Drosophila melanogaster: one gene and its partners. The protein of the gene in region 1 interacts with the protein of each later gene in a pairwise test. Each region holds a gene or a part of one and is shown in the gene's direction. Other genes may lie near its edges.

Region 1 (5,412 bases):
ACTGGATACGTCGCAGCTCACGCTCATCCACGCCCAAGCTCTCCAGCCAGTCCTCGTCGTCGTCTTCATCTTCCTGTGCCGGCGGAGGAGCATCTTCGCCCGCTTCTGGACCTAGCGAGGTGGTAGTGCTCTCCTCGTTAAAACTGTTGTCGTGCGCGTTTCCACTGTTATCGCTCTTAAGAGGCATGCTGAACTCGATCCCCTCCTGTCGCAGAGCTTGCCGCATTCCCCGAGTCGACGGCGTGACCAAGGCGTGGCTCTCCGGCCGACCGCCAACTCCGGCAGCTCGGAACAGCACCGTAAAAGTGTTGGCACACAGGTAGAAGTACGGGCACTGGCGGGCACGCAGCAGCTGAAATAGGCCCCGGAAGCTGAAGTCCCACTCCTCGGCCAGGGCCTTGCGCTCCCGCTCACCCACCACCACGCCCACGTTCTCCTTGGCGGTGCGCGGGTAGAGCGTCAGCCAGGGCAGGTGCGGGTGCTGCCAGTAGTAATTGCATTGGTTGAACCGCGTTGCGTCCGAGATATCCAGCGTGCTCTCCGTTCGCTGCGGGTCCATGCAGCGCACGAAGCTGGTGAGTCCGCTGGCCAGCTGCGAGGTCTTCAGTTGGATGGCAGGCAGTTCCGTGGGACAGAAGAAACGGGCTCGCGTCTTCAGGGACCAGTCCACAGGTAGGTGGGCGGTGTGCTTCTGCCGGGCGGCCAACTCCGCATCGTCCTCGTCCTCAGCGTTGATTTGGGGATGCTGGAAGAGCTTGGCAAAGGCCTGCGGGTCGTACTTCTGGAGCACGAATTTGGCGGGCGCCGGGCGCGTGGGCGTTTCCCGCACAAAGCAGGAGGAGGCAGTGACCACTGGTTCGAGGTCCGCCAGTTGCGGATCAACGCGCAGTTTCTTGGCATCAGCTGTGGATCTGAGGCAGGGAGTCAGTAATTGGATTTTGGGGAGAGCGAGAGAGAGGGAAACTCACTTCGCAAACGGATTTTTTCGCTTCTGGGCGAGCTTAGCCTCCAGTAGCTTGCTTTTATCCGTCTCATCCACTTGGTGTCTTGGCCGCCTATTGTTGTTGTTGCTCACGCGGGCTGCCAATTTGTTCTTCTTCTGCTTGAGCCGCTGCAGTTTGATGAACTGGAAAACGAAACAACAACATTAGTGGCGGGCAGGTGCTCCTCCGAGTCCTTACCCACGTCATCTGGGCGCGTCCATTTGGAAGCCACACTCGCTTCGGTGGACATGTTCAATGTCTTGGTTCGCGCACAGGACCTTCACGGATTATTTAAGTACTTTGTGAACTGCAAATATCTTCAAAACGTTTGCAAATATCACAAAAAATTATGGCGCGCAACTAGGGGTGTGAAATCTTTCGATTGATTAGCTCGTTATTCGCTATTTTCGCCCATGTTCAATTCCCAAAAATATCGTTAGTCGGCAAATAAAACGAATCTCACAATTTAACTAATTATTTATTATAATAGATGGAGTAGTTTACAAAACGAAACTAACTTAAATTGTATATCACTGGCTGCAGGGGCTATGTTGGTTAACAATGGCATTGTTGGGCATCGAATTTGATTTTTTAATTTTAATGGTTCTTTTTGGATTTACAAGCTTCTAACCTAAATTAAACAAGCGCATGTTGTATCGTTTTAACTATTAATAAAATCAAATGAATAAAAAATCTTTTTGCGCTATAAAAATGTATCTGACTATCGGATTCACCGATAACAAATCGATTAAGCACTGTCGTTTTTCCAACTGTTTTATGATCTGGTAACACTTTCCGTCGCTGCGTTTTATGCTAAAAGTAAACACATTAACTTGATAAACAATGAACCTCGCCGACGTTTGCCGTATTTGCGCCAACAAAATTATGGGCCACCAGCGAGATCGCAACATATTCATTCACATGCGGGGAAAATATTTGGGTCAACTGAAGCTAATCACGGGAGTGGAGGTAGGTCGTTATGTCAGCTTCCGACCGCGCCAACAATTGTTATTACCTGGAATTTGTTCAGCTGACAAGAAACCAGGGGCTGCCGGAGATTGTTTGCGAGCGCTGCTTCTCCGAGCTGGACCTGGCCACCAAGTTCCGCGAGCGGTGCATCTTCTCGCAAAAGTACCTGCTGGATATCATAAAGAAGACCAGTGATCAAAGCACTGTTCACGTTGAGCTTAGTTCCGAGCCGCTGGACGAGCAACTGATCGATGCGGATCAATTGGAGACGCACTACGATGACGACCAGTACGTTTGTTATCAAGGCACGAAAGAGGAACACCAAGACCTAGAGGAAATCGAGCTGGATGACGACCCCTCTGCCGCTGTGATAGCGGCAGCAGAGGCGGCAGCAGAAGCGGCGCAGCAGGAGGATCTACAGGAGCAGGAAATGGAGCGGGCCGCCAAGAGGCGCAGTAACTTCTTTATCTGCGACGAGTGTGGAACCCTGTTCCACGATGCGTTCCTGTACACCGAGCATTTAAATGGGCACCAGAACCGGCGGGATATGAACCAGTTCTTCCCCTGCCCTGAGTGCCCACAGACTTTTAACAAGAAGGCGCTTCTCAAGCAGCATCGCACCCAGGTTCATTTAATTAACCGCAGGTTCCAGTGCACCATCTGCCACGAGGCTTTCGCGTCTCTGGGCGCTAAGTTGCGGCACGACAAGTAAGGAGGCTGGGAATTGAATGCTAGCGCAGCACTATATGCAACTTCCAATTTCATTTTAGAGCCCATAAGAACGAACGACCTTATCCATGCCTAGAATGCGGAATGATCTTCAGCAGCGTTTCCGAATTGCAGAACCACTTTTCGACACACTCAAAGCAAATCCGAAAGTTCAGGTAAGCTTGTCAGCTTGCGCAGTCATATGTCTTAATATCGTATTTTTTGCGTTTAGGTGTGAGCCTTGCAACATGGATTTTATAACTCGCCGAGGCTTGGTGGCCCATACAAAAACAGCACCGCATAAGCGCCTTGCCAAATATATGCAGGATGAATTCGATTTCATCGAATTGGCAACCTAACCCTCAATTATTACCACCTTCTTTCTAAGTAAATGCTAAGGTCAAAAAAATAAATCATAATTGAGTAGTTCAGTTTACTACTTCGCTACCATAATATTCGACAATGGAGTATCGGTTCAATGTTATTTTTTTATAAGTGTATTTTTAATTTATTGAAAATAAAATTCCTTCAGTTTTACTTTCAAGTCATTTTTTATAGTTCATACTTTTAAATTAAGGAGGGAATGGAAATTTATAGCGTATTACCGTGTAACATAAACCTCTAGTCATACAATTCAAGAAAATAAAGTTTTCTTAGCGACTAAGTTTTCTTATTTTCTTCCAGCATTTTATACTAATAAAGCTTAAAGAGGCCTGAAAACCTCAGCTCCAGCAGTTTGGCGCTAATCTAATTCTCGGCCCCCCACAGGACTGCTTCAACATAAAAGAGCTTTCGAGTACGGCGCATGCGTCCTTTCAGCTGTGGCTGCCATAAGGCAGCTTCGATTGGATCTGCGTATATTTCGCAAATTCAACTGGTAGCCGCCGCACGAAGCACAGAGCCCTACGTCACGTTAGTATATACACGGAATCGGAGCAGCTGCCGCCGAAAAATCAATACCTTACCAAACTTCGACGTGGACGGTTGAAACCGCTTGGAATCGCAATATGTTGTTCCGTTCGCAAAGTAAGTCTGCTGAAGTAATATTTATAGGTGGGTGAGGTAAGAGAATAGCCCATGTTTTTCCAGGTGTGTACATGATGGTGGCGATGCTCGTGGTCGCCTTGAGTGGCTACCAGGTGCAGTCCTATAGCGCCAAGGATATTCTTGCCGATGTCTTGATGACGGATCTGCTGAATCGCATGGACAAAGACATGCAGGTGGGCTATTACGACGTGGGCAACGAGGCAGCCGCTGGCTCCAAGGACAACGTGGACCTGGTCTCCCGGTCGGAGTACGCGAGGCTGTGTGACGGCGGAAGCGACTGCATCCTGCAATCGGGCTCGGCATCGGGAGCTGCCTCCCATCCTTCGCTGCGGGATGACGAGTTTCTGCAGCACAGTTCGCTGTGGGGTCACCAGTTCATCTCCGGCGGAATGGGAGAGGGTCCCAACAGGTATCCCACTATAGTGAAGAACGACGCCGGCCTGCCTGCCTACTGCAACCCTCCTAATCCCTGCCCTGAGGGCTACGACATGGAGACGCAAGGCGGCAGCTGCATTGTCGACTTCGAAAACACGGCCATCTTCAGCCGGGAGTTCCAGGCCGCTCAGGACTGTACCTGCGACAACGAGCATATGTTCGACTGCTCGGAACAGGATAGTGCTGATGTGGGCGGCGACAAGGGTGACCTGAACTCCGCCGTGGAGCAGTACATCATGCAGATGGGCCAGGAGAACAGCCTGAACAACGTTAACAGCCTGGCTAAGAAGGCCGGATATCCTGTGATGCCCGATCCTCGGCTGGACGACGCGGTCATAAACCCGTTCCTCCAGGGCGACCGCTTGCCCATAGCCGCCAAGAAGGGCAACCTTTTATTCCACTAAGGTAACTCGCTGATAACGCGAGCATACACGACGTTTCCATATGGGTGTCTAATACTATTATCTATCATAGCTGGTTATCAATGTTGTCCCGCAAGCGATGTCTAGTAATGTTTCTACCCTTTCCCGAAAATAAAGTTATTCGTATAGTACCAGGGCTCTAAGCCGAAAATATGCGGGTATTGGTCTAAACTTGGGGTAGGGTCTCCACTACCGAAGGTGGGTTCGGATGTAGCTTATCCTTGGGATGACCCAAGTTTGATGAGAGTGAGAAATATCGAATATCTGTTTGATGCTTCTATTTATTGTTTTAAAAAGTTTTACAATCCATCAAATCATCAATGATTATTCATTTAAAAAGAACTATCCTCGATATGTCGTCGAGTGTACAAATAGGCCACTGCGGTTCAGCTCCACGTTGAGTATTTTGTGTCAGCATGCACTGGCCGCGTGTTTCGGATGATCCACGCGGGTATTGACTTAAAGATAACCTAACAAATGATAGTATAGTACATCGCATGAATGTTGCTGCCACAGTGGGCGATCAGCCACCCAATTATTGGCACACATCGACACTGGCAGTGTGATTAGCTAAGCATAATGTTCGTTCTGTTGCCATGAAGCCTTATGAACGACCTGATCCTTCTGAGCCAGAGTGTCCTGGCTCTCACTCGCGTCCCTATACATACTATACAACACAATCCTTCCTTCTGACTACAATTCTAGGTATTGGCTTAGTCTTAAGTTTAGGCAGTTGATGGAAAGAGGCGGAATTCGTTAACAAGTTACCTAGGTCTAACTTAGCTCTACGTCTAGGATGGGCGGGTCCTTCACAGGCGACCTGTGCCATTACCGCCGCCGCCGTTGGT
Region 2 (4,957 bases), on another chromosome or scaffold:
ATACAGATACCGATTTAATTTGCCACAAAAGTAAGCCGCATGCACAACGTTCTTCTTTCTTTGAGTAACTAGGCACTGGGAACTCAGAACTCGGATGCGGATTCGGATTCGCAACTGGAAGGGCAAAGCAAACTTGTCTAATCCAATGAAAACAAGCAGCTCAGCTGCGATTGATAAGGGCAAGTCGGACTTACTAGGCAACCGACGCAGTGACCCTTCTTCATCTGTATGCCCCTTCTATATGGATGTACTTACTTTGTATATCCTGACAACTGCTTAGCTCATTTGACTGCTGCCAGGACAACGAGGACACTTTGGCAATAATATCGTCCGGTTGTCGGCTTTAAGTCCTCGGATTTGCTTCGTAAATACTTGCAAACGGCTTCAAAATGTCCGGCTTAAATGAGTGGGAGTTTCGAGTTCTGGGTGCTATGATTAAACTGAGGTGACAACATTTTGCCGAGTGCAATTTACAGTAAAATTGTATGCATAATTTCCGTTATGACACTTGCGGTGCGCACACACACAGACACACACGCACACATTTGAACGGAGAAATTTATTTGCAGATAGATGGATAGATAGATGTGGTTACACATTCCCAAAACACTGCAGGAAAATTCCTTTTTGCAATTGCTGGGCGGACTAACCTCATCTAAAAACCACTTGATTTCAAATATTTCGGAATTTAATTAATATGCTGCAAAATGGTTTCAAAGGCGAACCTTATTTACAATCGAAGTTATATATCTTTTTATGTCCTGCTACCTGTTTCCACCGGTGCATGTTTGTATTGGCCTACGAATCTGTAAGTAAGTGGACGACCAGGCACTACGGCTAAATACCAGAACTGCCTGCAGGCAGCATTCTAATTTATGTTATCCTTGCCACTCCACTGAGGCCACACAAAGGGAAATTCTATGCACATATACAGAAATCAGAGTCGCAATACCCTGCTGTAATTACAAAGTGCCAGAGTCGAACTCACAGCCAGACTCCACAATTGAGAATACAGAATCCGGTATCCGGAATACAGAATCCCAAGTCCCGAGTCCCAGACCCGCAGACCAGTTGATATCCTTTAAATCCCTTTAATGCCGGCGCGCAGCCTTTGATTTTTGCAATATCAATTAGCGTAAAACGCGTAGGCCGCCAAAAACTGGTGAAACTGGTCGTGATTGGTGGGTTGGGGGGCATACCAGCCCATGAGGATTTACAGCTGCTGATTATTTCATTAGGCGAAAGTAAATTTAAACGCCAGCCGCACGTTAAATTTATGTTAATTTCCGAAGGGCTGCCAGCCAAAAAGGATGCGGAAATGGCATAGACGAGGAGCAAAAGCTAAGGGAAACTGGAAACTGGCACAGACAGCCTCGGAAAATGAGACGTTCGAGGGGGCGGGTGGGTCTAGTTGAAGGCAAATGGGTGGAATACTATATTACAGCTCGTGCAGGGTCACATTTTAATGCTGCATTCTTGCGCATTACAATGCACTTTAAGTGAATTGTAAATTGCACACCACTGTCTGTATTAAATATGAACGAAATGAGTTGTCAAAAAAAAAAAAAAATGACTAGCTATCAACCTTTTCCAACTGACCATATGCTGCAAATGGACCGTTGCCAAGCCAAATGATTTTCGAACAGAAAAATATTTTCAAACAGATAACTTTCCGTGAATTTAAAACCATATCTGCGGCTCCACTTGACACACATAGGAAACGCACTTGTTTTGCTTGGAACCGAAACACTGATGATCGACCGGGAATATCCATATCCATCCCCCGGGCATATCTAGTTCGCTAGTAATAATCATTAATTAATAACAAATTTGTATTGATTGTCCGGCGAGCAAAACAAAAACAAAAGAGCGAGATGGCGCACTGAAAGCGGGAGATCAGGTGCCGCGCGGCTATACATATATAGCAATATAGCTAGCCGATCTGTGGCCTGACACTGCTTGGCACTCGGCATCCGTCAGCGATTTCGATAGCATTGCGGATTCCCGGACCCGGCCACCAAAAACCCGGGCACATGTGTCGCCGATCAATGCGCGCAACATCTGGTGCGAATGGATATGTACGTACGTATGGATGTATCTTTATCTCAGTCTCGGACTAATGAAGCCGGCAGCGCGTTAGATACGTTGCTCGCCGGCTAATTATTCCCCAAGGGATCCTGGCCACCAATCACTGGAAGCAATCGAGCCACGATCGCAATGAGTGCATCTCTTGATACCCATTGTTCTAGGCAGATCGCAGGGTATGCTATACTATTGTACTTGTAAAAGAAACAATTTAAGTAAACATTCTTTTCATGACATATCAATATGATTTTAAGTACTTAGGGTATATGCCCTGCGATTCCCAACCAGATTCAATGGCTCTCATCAACTTTTCCGACGCCTGTCACTCATCCGGATTGTCCGTGGATATTATAAATATTTGGACACTCGACTGGAGTCCGCTCATTTGCGATCATGGACTTCTTTGCGACGGGTGGATTCCAGCAGCTTTACAGCGACTTGGAAGAGGAGCCACTGGCCGGCGGCGATGCGCTGCTAAATATAGTCAGTGTTGGGGAATTCGATAGCACCTATGTGGATACTAGCTTTTCCGGTGGCAACTATAATCAGCTGGAATTCGAGGAGTCGGATTATTATGGCATCATCACATTGGACAGTAATAATAATACAAATACTAATGGGAATATCCAGGTGGGTCTGCCCCACGTGGAGGATCCTTCATTGTTCATCGACTTCAATGACCTGACCGTATGTCCGCCGGACTTAAGTGATTGGGAGCAGCGACTGCTGGATAACTACGTAGAGATTCCGGACCTGGTGGACTTTCTGCCGGAACGAACTCCCCTGTGCACGGATAACTGTGCGGACTTTCTGGAGGAGAGCAACAGCAATCTGCGGCTGTCGGGGCCACCACATTCAGAGATTTTCGTTCCCGATCGATCGTCTTCCTCGCCCGGCAGCAGTGATTCCGCCAGTCCAGCTGAAGCTGTTGCCCCACCTTCTGCCCTCCAGATGAGTGAAAATGCCGCCGGCGAACGGGGTTACCTGTGCACCTTTGGCAATTGCGAAAAGATCTACGCCAAGCCCGCGCATCTGAAGGCCCATTTGAGGCGGCATCTAGGCGAGAAGCCCTACGTCTGCAGTTGGCCAGATTGCGTCTGGCGGTTCTCCCGATCCGATGAACTGGCCCGCCACAAGCGCTCCCATTCCGGCGTGAAGCCGTACAAATGTGACTACTGTTCCAAGTGCTTCGCCAGGTCGGATCACCTCACCAAGCATCGTAAGGTGCACGAAAGACGTCTTCTGGCCGCCTCCAGAGCTGGCAGATCCCTGATCTCCGACGATCTGTATGCCGTGCGACCAGGTCGAAAGCGAAAGAATCAGTTATGACCACATTCCAAGGACACGATGGATGAGTTAGTTTTAACGTTTTGTACTATTTTTTTTTTTTTTATCACTTAAGATTAGTTCGCATGGGAAACATATCCATAAAATAGAGCTGAAGTATTCCTTCTTTTGTTAGGAAAATTATCAAGAGTTTTATTTCGAATGGGAATATTGATGGTAATAATTACTTGCTGCTCTGTTTTACATAAATGAAATGTGTTTGCTGATTTAAATACGGAAATCATAAACCATTGATAAACTCATTTAGCAGAGTAAAGGAGCATATGATTTAATAAAAAGAAAAAGGGTTACACGCATGAAGTTAATTCATTACAAAAGTTAAATCGAATTTATTAATATAATGAAAAAGGCTAATTTTACGCGGCAGAGCAATTATATCCAACTAAGCAGTGATGTTTCAACAACAGTAGGCCGTTTGCATAGCTTCAAAAAATTTATTAGCGTACATTATATTTATATACTTAAAACATTCAACACAATTCGAGAAATATGGACCGAAATAAGCCACTCAGACTAATTGGCCTCTCCAGTACCGAGCCCGAAAAACAAACGAAACTTACACTGAACCATCTATGTCAGCTGCCAGCACAATGTCCCATAGAAAAATGCATTTCCACCGTTTTCAAGGATGATATGCTCCAACATTTGGCCCAACGCCATTTCCGATCAAATGTGAAAAAGCATTTGCAAGTGGCCTTCAACGGAGAACGCTGTACCCTGGTCTTTGATGTTTCTCAGCTGATTGGAACGCAGACCATATGTCTGGGAGTTCTTCTTTACGGCGGCGTGCGTGGTAAGCATAGCCAATTACCCGGAGAACGAGAATTCTGTTATCACAATCGATTGAAAGAGGATTCGGGGCTGGAATCGCTGAAGGACTATCTGCCCATTATGGTGCTGGTGAAGAGGACAACATTCCTCTGCTGGGCACTTGTGGACAGAAAAATGGAATCGCAAGAAGATCTTAATGGTAAACAGTCAAAAGATCTTAAGCAGGTAAAACATCTAGATTTCTCAAATGATACGCATCCCAAATGCAGTGAAGAATCGATCAAAAGGTGCGATAGTGGCCAAAAGAATAACGATCTAAAGACGACCACTGAAGCCGAGCAGGAAGAGATTATGGACTCCGATATCTTGATAATTTGGACCCAAAGTGCACCCTGCATCCGACCACTCCACGTTGCCATGACCGTATTCAACAGCACCTTGTCGGTTGGCCGGAGCGCCATGCGTTGTGTGGCAAATTCGGGCCAAATGTATACCGAAATCGGTGGCAAGGATCTGCCCAAGGACCGGCATTCCCTTTTGATAACGCAGCAAGAATTGAAGGAGATATGTGGCGCAGAACATCATCTCCATCTCGAACTGATCCTGCATGAGCCTTTGGAATAACCGGCAGCCTGAGATTTTGTTTATTTTTACCTTATAATTGCATTTATTAAAGCGGAGTGTGCAGAAGAATGTGAATTTGTCATGCGGTGGGCAGGAAGGAGGAACGGGACTGTGCCGCCAAGAAGGATCC
Region 3 (6,567 bases), on another chromosome or scaffold:
CACACAGCAAAAAGGCTAAACACAAATTTATGCTCGAAACCCACAACACAAGGAGCTCATATTTATGGATGCTGGTTTCGCTGGTCGCAGGCCAAGAAGTGCTTTAAAATGCTTGACGAATTCCTTCTTCCTTCAGCGAGCTTATATAATCAACGATTCTCTTAAGAACAAGTATATGCGGCTATGGTAAAAATGTTAAATGTTTTAAAAAATTCCGAAATATATACACAAATTATAAAACTGTCATAGCTCAAGTCGCATTAGTTTGCTAATGGATTTTGACATTAAGATAATTTAATAAAATATATATAGATAGTATTTGGTACATAAAACTAAAATAGTTCTTATTAACCTTAAGAACGAAAACTAGTACGCATACTTGATCATATATATATATAAAGTATTGATATTTATTTCCATTTTAAAACAATTGAAGAGGATTCTTATGTAACAAATGTATCTTAGAAATACCTTAGAATATCTTCAGATTTGACTTACGAGCTTGACAGCTGTCTTCAACTGTTGTAGCAATCACAAATATCAAACGATATCAACGGATTAAGGGAACCTTTTTTAATTATAAGGGCTGGCTCATTACCATAATAACATGTTTTGAACGTCAGAGATCGTCGCCCACTCAATTATGTCCTTCAAGTAATCCCGTCATTAAACACGACCAGGTGTCGTTTGTTCGGACTGCAAAACAATTATTAAACCATTAGGAGGTATGAATGGGGCGCTATATAAGGAAAGGGTTCTGTAAGCGGTTAAAATCATGTATCCGCGATTCCTCAGCCGTAACTATCCGCTGGCCAAGCATTTGTTCTTCGTCACCAGATACTCCTTTGGCCTGCTGGGCCTGAGATTTGGCAAAGAGCAATCGTGGCTTCACCTCTTGTGGCTGGTGTTCAATTTCGTTAACCTGGCGCACTGCTGCCAGGCGGAGTTCGTCTTCGGCTGGAGTCACTTGCGCACCAGTCCCGTGGATGCCATGGACGCCTTTTGTCCTCTGGCCTGCAGTTTCACCACGCTCTTCAAGCTGGGATGGATGTGGTGGCGTCGCCAGGAAGTAGCTGATCTAATGGACCGCATCCGCTTGCTCATCGGGGAGCAGGAGAAGAGGGAGGACTCCCGGAGAAAGGTGGCTCAAAGGAGCTACTATCTCATGGTCACCAGGTGCGGTATGCTGGTCTTCACCCTGGGCAGCATTACCACTGGAGCCTTCGTTCTGCGTTCCCTTTGGGAAATGTGGGTGCGTCGTCATCAGGAGTTCAAATTCGATATGCCCTTTCGCATGCTGTGTGTGATGTTGTAGCATGTCAGTGAGGATTAGATGTTCTGATTAGATGTTCCACAGGTTCCACGACTTTGCGCATCGCATGCCCTGGTTTCCAGTTTTCTATCTCTACTCCACATGGAGTGGCCAGGTCACTGTGTACGCCTTTGCTGGTACAGATGGTTTCTTCTTTGGCTTTACCCTCTACATGGCCTTCTTGCTGCAGGCCTTAAGATACGATATCCAGGATGCCCTCAAGCCAATAAGAGGTGGATGGTCCATTATGCATATGGCTAACATTAAATTCGGGTGTATACTTTCTAAATAGATCCCTCGCTTAGGGAATCCAAAATCTGCTGTCAGCGATTGGCGGACATCGTGGATCGCCACAATGAGATAGAGAAGATAGTCAAGGAATTTTCTGGAATTATGGCTGCTCCAACTTTTGTTCACTTCGTATCAGCCAGCTTAGTGATAGCCACCAGCGTCATTGATATACTATTGGTAATAGCCGTCCTTTTAAGTGATAAGCACACTAACTCAAACCAATAGTTTCTATAGTATTCCGGCTATAACATCATCCGTTACGTGGTGTACACCTTCACGGTTTCCTCGGCCATCTTCCTCTATTGCTACGGAGGCACAGAAATGTCAACTGAGGTGGGACAGGTCGAGTCTCTTGATTAACCTTTGACCTCTTTCATTTCTAGAGCCTTTCCTTGGGAGAAGCAGCCTACAGCAGTGCCTGGTATACTTGGGATCGAGAGACCCGCAGGCGGGTCTTTCTCATTATCCTGCGTGCTCAACGACCCATTACGGTGAGGGTGCCCTTTTTTGCACCATCGTTACCAGTCTTCACATCGGTGGGTTATAATCTGTATGGCACTTAGTGCAATCCACTAATGAAACCCTTTTTTAGGTCATCAAGTTTACAGGTTCGATTGTGGCACTGGCTAAGACGATACTGTGAAAAAGAGTGTTGAATTAAAAAATAACCAAGTACTTAAATTTAATAGCTACTATTTTGTATTAGTTTGTGGTTGCAGCCTAGCCCAAAAGTATGCAATTTACACAATACATATACAATTGTGCAGACTCGAAGTCAATTAATTGCCGGGGTCAAGGGTTCAAATGTGGGATTAAAGGGCTTGCCGTAAAGTTTGAACCATAAAGTTTTCTAGTAGCAGTGAAACCATTTATTCTTCATCGTTTAACAAAGCTACTGGCATGATTCAATAAATTTGAGTGCAATAAGTTAGCAATGTTTAAAAGTTGAGGCAAACAGGATTGCCCCGGCTTCAGATTGATTACGTAGGTCGTAGTATACGCAATCGGTTAATGGACAGAGAATCAAAGCCATAAGAAAGGCACGTGAGTGTGTTTTGGCATCGGTTTCGGTCTGTTCTACGACTTCTGTCAACTTAAACTTGGCCAGCCATAAATGATGATTTGATTGAACCGTCTAGATTAGTTTCCTTTGATTAGATTTACTCTGATACTGAGCGATAGCTCCGAGGCAGCGCCCAGTTCCTTGGTCGGTCAGTCGGTTTAGTCTTTAACCAAGGTCTGACCTCCACACCACGCCTGGGATTAGCTGAAAATGGCCAGGAGATTCATTCTGTTGCTCGTCTTAGCTGTCTGCCTGAGCGGAAGTGCCAGCGGACAAAGAGGTAAGGTGCTCTGAAGCTGGATTTTAGAACTCAGCGATACCTCAAAAGTGTTTTTATTTAGAATAGTTCGAAAATGTTTAGGTATTTGAATTTATTTTGTTTTGTACGCCAGTTCAGGGAATTTATTTTACAAGCAGCTTAACTATTTAGATAACTACGAGTATAAAAACATGTCAGATTTTATGTTTGTCCTCCCAAAGGATGTGTTATTTTGACTGGCGCTGACTTGAGATTCAGCGTGCAGGACGAGGTACTTTGAGATTAAGTTCTTTAAAATAACTTCTTATCTTCCAAGTTTACTTGAAAAAAATGTGTAGAGGAGATAAGACTCAAATAATCCCATTGATATATAACAGAAAATCCAAACCCAAAATTATTTATGATCCTTCTATTTTTTGACCAATGCTAATAGTTATATTGGCTTATCGGAAACCTCTTATTGTTATAGTAATTATTGAACTATTTTGCCATTCTTTTCAGACCACCCTCGTGGGCGTTCCTTTGATGCCGAATCGCATCCGATCAAGTATGCAGAGGAGCAGCAGACCCAGTACTGGGTGGATAAGGCCCAGGCGAAGCTGTTATCGAAGCTGGCCGAGCAGGAGTCCGCGACCACAAACAAGGCGAAGAACGTGATTCTGTTCCTGGGCGATGGAATGTCCGTTCACACGGTCACGGCCACCAGGAATCTGCTAGGCGACAGTGCGGAGCAGGTGTACTTTGAGGGATTTCCCTACACTGGCTTGTCCAAGACCTACTGCGTAAACCGCCAGGTGGCCGATTCTGCTTGCACGGCCACCGCCTATTTGGGCGGTGTGAAGGCGAACTATGGAACGATTGGCGTTAACGCCAATGTGTCCAGGTACAGCTGTGATGGCGCCGCCAACGAGGAGGATCGGGTGCTCAGCATCGCGCATTGGGCACAGGCGGCTGGCAAGGATGCAGGTCTGGTGACTACAGCCCGGGTAACTCATGCATCCCCAGCTGGTGTTTATGCCCACATCGCGGATCGCAATTGGGAGAACGACTGGGAGGTGGCCAACAGGGAGTGCGATCCCGAGCAGACCATCGATATTGCCCGTCAGCTCGTGGAGCAGCCTGTGGGTCAGCAGCTGAAGGTAATCCTTGGAGGCGGTCGCAAGAACTTCATCGACGCAACGGTAAATGATGAGGAGGGTTATCCCGGCAAGCGTACCGACGGTCGTCACTTAATCCGCAGTTGGTTGGATCAGAAGAAGGAGGCCAATGTCTCAGCCAAATACGTGTGGAGTCGCAAGGGACTCAGTCTGGTGGATCTCGAGAATACGGACTACCTATTGGGTCTCTTTGCCAATGATCATCTGCCGTACAACGGTGATCGGGACAGGAAACGTAGTCAGTTGGCGGATCCTTCGCTGAGTGAGCTCACGGAGGCTGCCATCACGGTGTTGAGCCGCAATGACAAGGGATTCTTTCTCTTCGTCGAGGGTGCTCGTATCGACATGGCCCACCACGATACCTTCGCCAAGAGATCCCTCGAGGATACCGCCGAGTTTGCGAGGGCTGTCCAGAAGGCTCGCGAACTTACCTCCGAGGATGACACACTGATCGTGGTGACCGCTGATCATGCTCATGTTATGTCCATCAATGGTTATCCTGTGAGTACTTGAAAGTTTCCTTTCTAACAGCGATAGGTATTTGACTTATGATTTCTGAATTCCGGCAGTATCGTGACCAGGAGATCACCGGATTGGCTCAACTGGCGGATGATAATCTGCCCTATACGATTTTGTCCTATGCCAATGGACCTGGCTACTACTCCGGCTACAATCGCGCTGAGGGACGTGCCCTTCTAAAGGAGAAGTTGGTTGCGGACTCAGACTATCAGTATCCCACGCTGGCGCCCTTGGACGCAGAAACCCACGGAGGAGATGATGTGGCGGTGTATGCCTCGGGACCCTATGCCCAGTACTTCAGTGGCAACTACGAGCAAAGCAATATTCCGGCGCTGATGGCCAGAGCAGCGGGTATCGGGCCCTATGCCTAGGATTTGGCTGATTTTCTTGGCGCATGTAAAACTCCTCTCGCTGAGATGGAATAATTAAAATGCATCATTGCTAAACGAATCTTGCATGGGAAACTGTACCGGGAATGGGGCAAATCGAATTCCGTCTAATTGAACTGACAAGCTGTGCAATTTCCTGTGGAGCAGGGGAGCTGCCCCCCCAATAAATGCCACCTGACGGCAAATTCAATTAACTAGCAATGGCAACTGGCATCTGACAACCTGCAGGCAGCCTCAATCAGTCAGCTGCAATCACTTTGGGGCTGAGCCAATTGACCAGGTGGTTTCTGGCCAAATGAAGAGAGAAACGCGGCCAGAAAGAATGGCCAGCCATCAGCCATTATATGTTTCATCATAAATCCCAGAAAATATGACATTCAAATGGAATCCATCGACAATCCGTGCATTTCCTGCTTTAAAGATGGCTATGAATATCTAAGTGGATTTATTTAAAATGGGCTTTGACTGTCAAAGAAATACATTCAATGGATTCAGGTTGGAATCGTCAGCAAGGTAACAAAAATCAGCGCTGAAAATCCTCCTGGAAAAAATTTATCATATCTTTCCGAAGGATAAGGCTTTAAAATTAACATTTTTCCCATATTTTCAATCGCACCTCTATAAGAATGTTTCATTTTGGATTCAGTTAATGCATAGTGTTCCAGTTTTATATGGATATTTCGGGACCCTGGAGTCTCAAACTCCATTTTGCATCATTTTGATCTTTTGAACCTATTATCAAATAATTTCCCATTGAAACTCCCGTTCGAATGATTGAATTAGGATTCCCATTTGGTGTCAACATGCGATGATTGACGATTCCGAAAGGCGAACAGAAATATTTGGTAATGGGTTGTGTTCCATTTCCGATTTCACTTGGCCTGCGACAGAATTTTATTTTCGGCCAATTTCCGCTACAATTTCTGTTTAAGAGGAGCCTCAGTTTACCGAGTCTCGATTTGTGTGGTCAAGAGAAGGCCCAGTTTCGACTGGACTGCACCTAATCATAGGGTTTTTGGCCAAAGCGGCAGTGCAACGGGCCTAGAGAAACTGAAACTGGGTCATCATGACCCAAGTGCTGGCTAATGGGGAGGGGGCGGGTGCGCTGGCGGGTACCAAATAGCTCCAAAGAAATGCAGCTGCGGTCTGGTTCTTGGATATTCCAACGCAAGGCGGGGGGGTTCTACCAATTATGTATATCTGTATCTGCAGGGACAGAAGAAGAGAAAAAACTAATGGCAGCATACACAAAATGTGCTCACAACTAATGGTTGCTGCTTTAGCTGACTCAGCCAAGAAGCTTGCCGCAAAGATACAAAGATACGCCGTCACAGATACAAAAAACACGTGACTGTGTTGGAGCAAACTGGACTGAACTGGCGAGCTTTTTAACGAAACTCCATATCCGTCTCTCTCGCACGGCGCGCGCGCACTTCTAAGCCGATTCAAATGGCCATGTAGAGCCACAAAGCTGCAGCGCCGCTCTTTCGCTTTTTGTATCTTTCGGATACATGCGACGCGGATTGGGGGCCACATAATGTACGGCCAGGGCAGTAGGGGAATTTTTTGCTTTTGCG

What was found. Proteins that work in one complex are often made in the same cells at the same time.
Region 2: the proteins of CG14667 (region 1) and Klf15 interact in a two-hybrid assay, tested with the Drosophila melanogaster proteins (one large-scale study listed by BioGRID).
Region 3: the proteins of CG14667 (region 1) and Alp6 interact in a two-hybrid assay, tested with the Drosophila melanogaster proteins (one large-scale study listed by BioGRID).

Annotation. Positions count from the first base shown.
Region 1 is NT_033777.3:5,373,265-5,378,676, forward strand, and holds CG14667 (uncharacterized protein), read left to right. Parts: upstream 1-1,757; 5' UTR 1,758-1,826; coding exon 1,827-1,952; intron 1,953-2,013; coding exon 2,014-2,660; intron 2,661-2,722; coding exon 2,723-2,836; intron 2,837-2,892; coding exon 2,893-3,019; 3' UTR 3,020-3,196; downstream 3,197-5,412. Other genes in the region: hd (humpty dumpty), read right to left, coding at 1-911, 969-1,126, 1,186-1,233; 7B2, read left to right, coding at 3,668-3,686, 3,735-4,546; kkv (krotzkopf verkehrt), read right to left, coding at 5,374-5,412.
Region 2 is NC_004354.4:4,769,039-4,773,995, reverse strand, and holds Klf15 (Kruppel-like factor 15), read left to right. Parts: upstream 1-2,407; 5' UTR 2,408-2,478; coding exon 2,479-3,414; 3' UTR 3,415-3,439; downstream 3,440-4,957. Other genes in the region: CG15472 (uncharacterized protein), read left to right, coding at 3,922-4,827.
Region 3 is NT_033778.4:9,558,823-9,565,389, forward strand, and holds Alp6 (alkaline phosphatase 6), read left to right. Parts: upstream 1-2,815; 5' UTR 2,816-2,876; coding exon 2,877-2,946; exon of another isoform or gene 2,947-3,426; coding exon 3,427-4,583; exon of another isoform or gene 4,584-4,651; coding exon 4,652-4,972; 3' UTR 4,973-5,049; downstream 5,050-6,567. Other genes in the region: Or45b (odorant receptor 45b), read left to right, coding at 776-1,299, 1,358-1,545, 1,605-1,780, 1,838-1,936, 1,987-2,139, 2,196-2,246.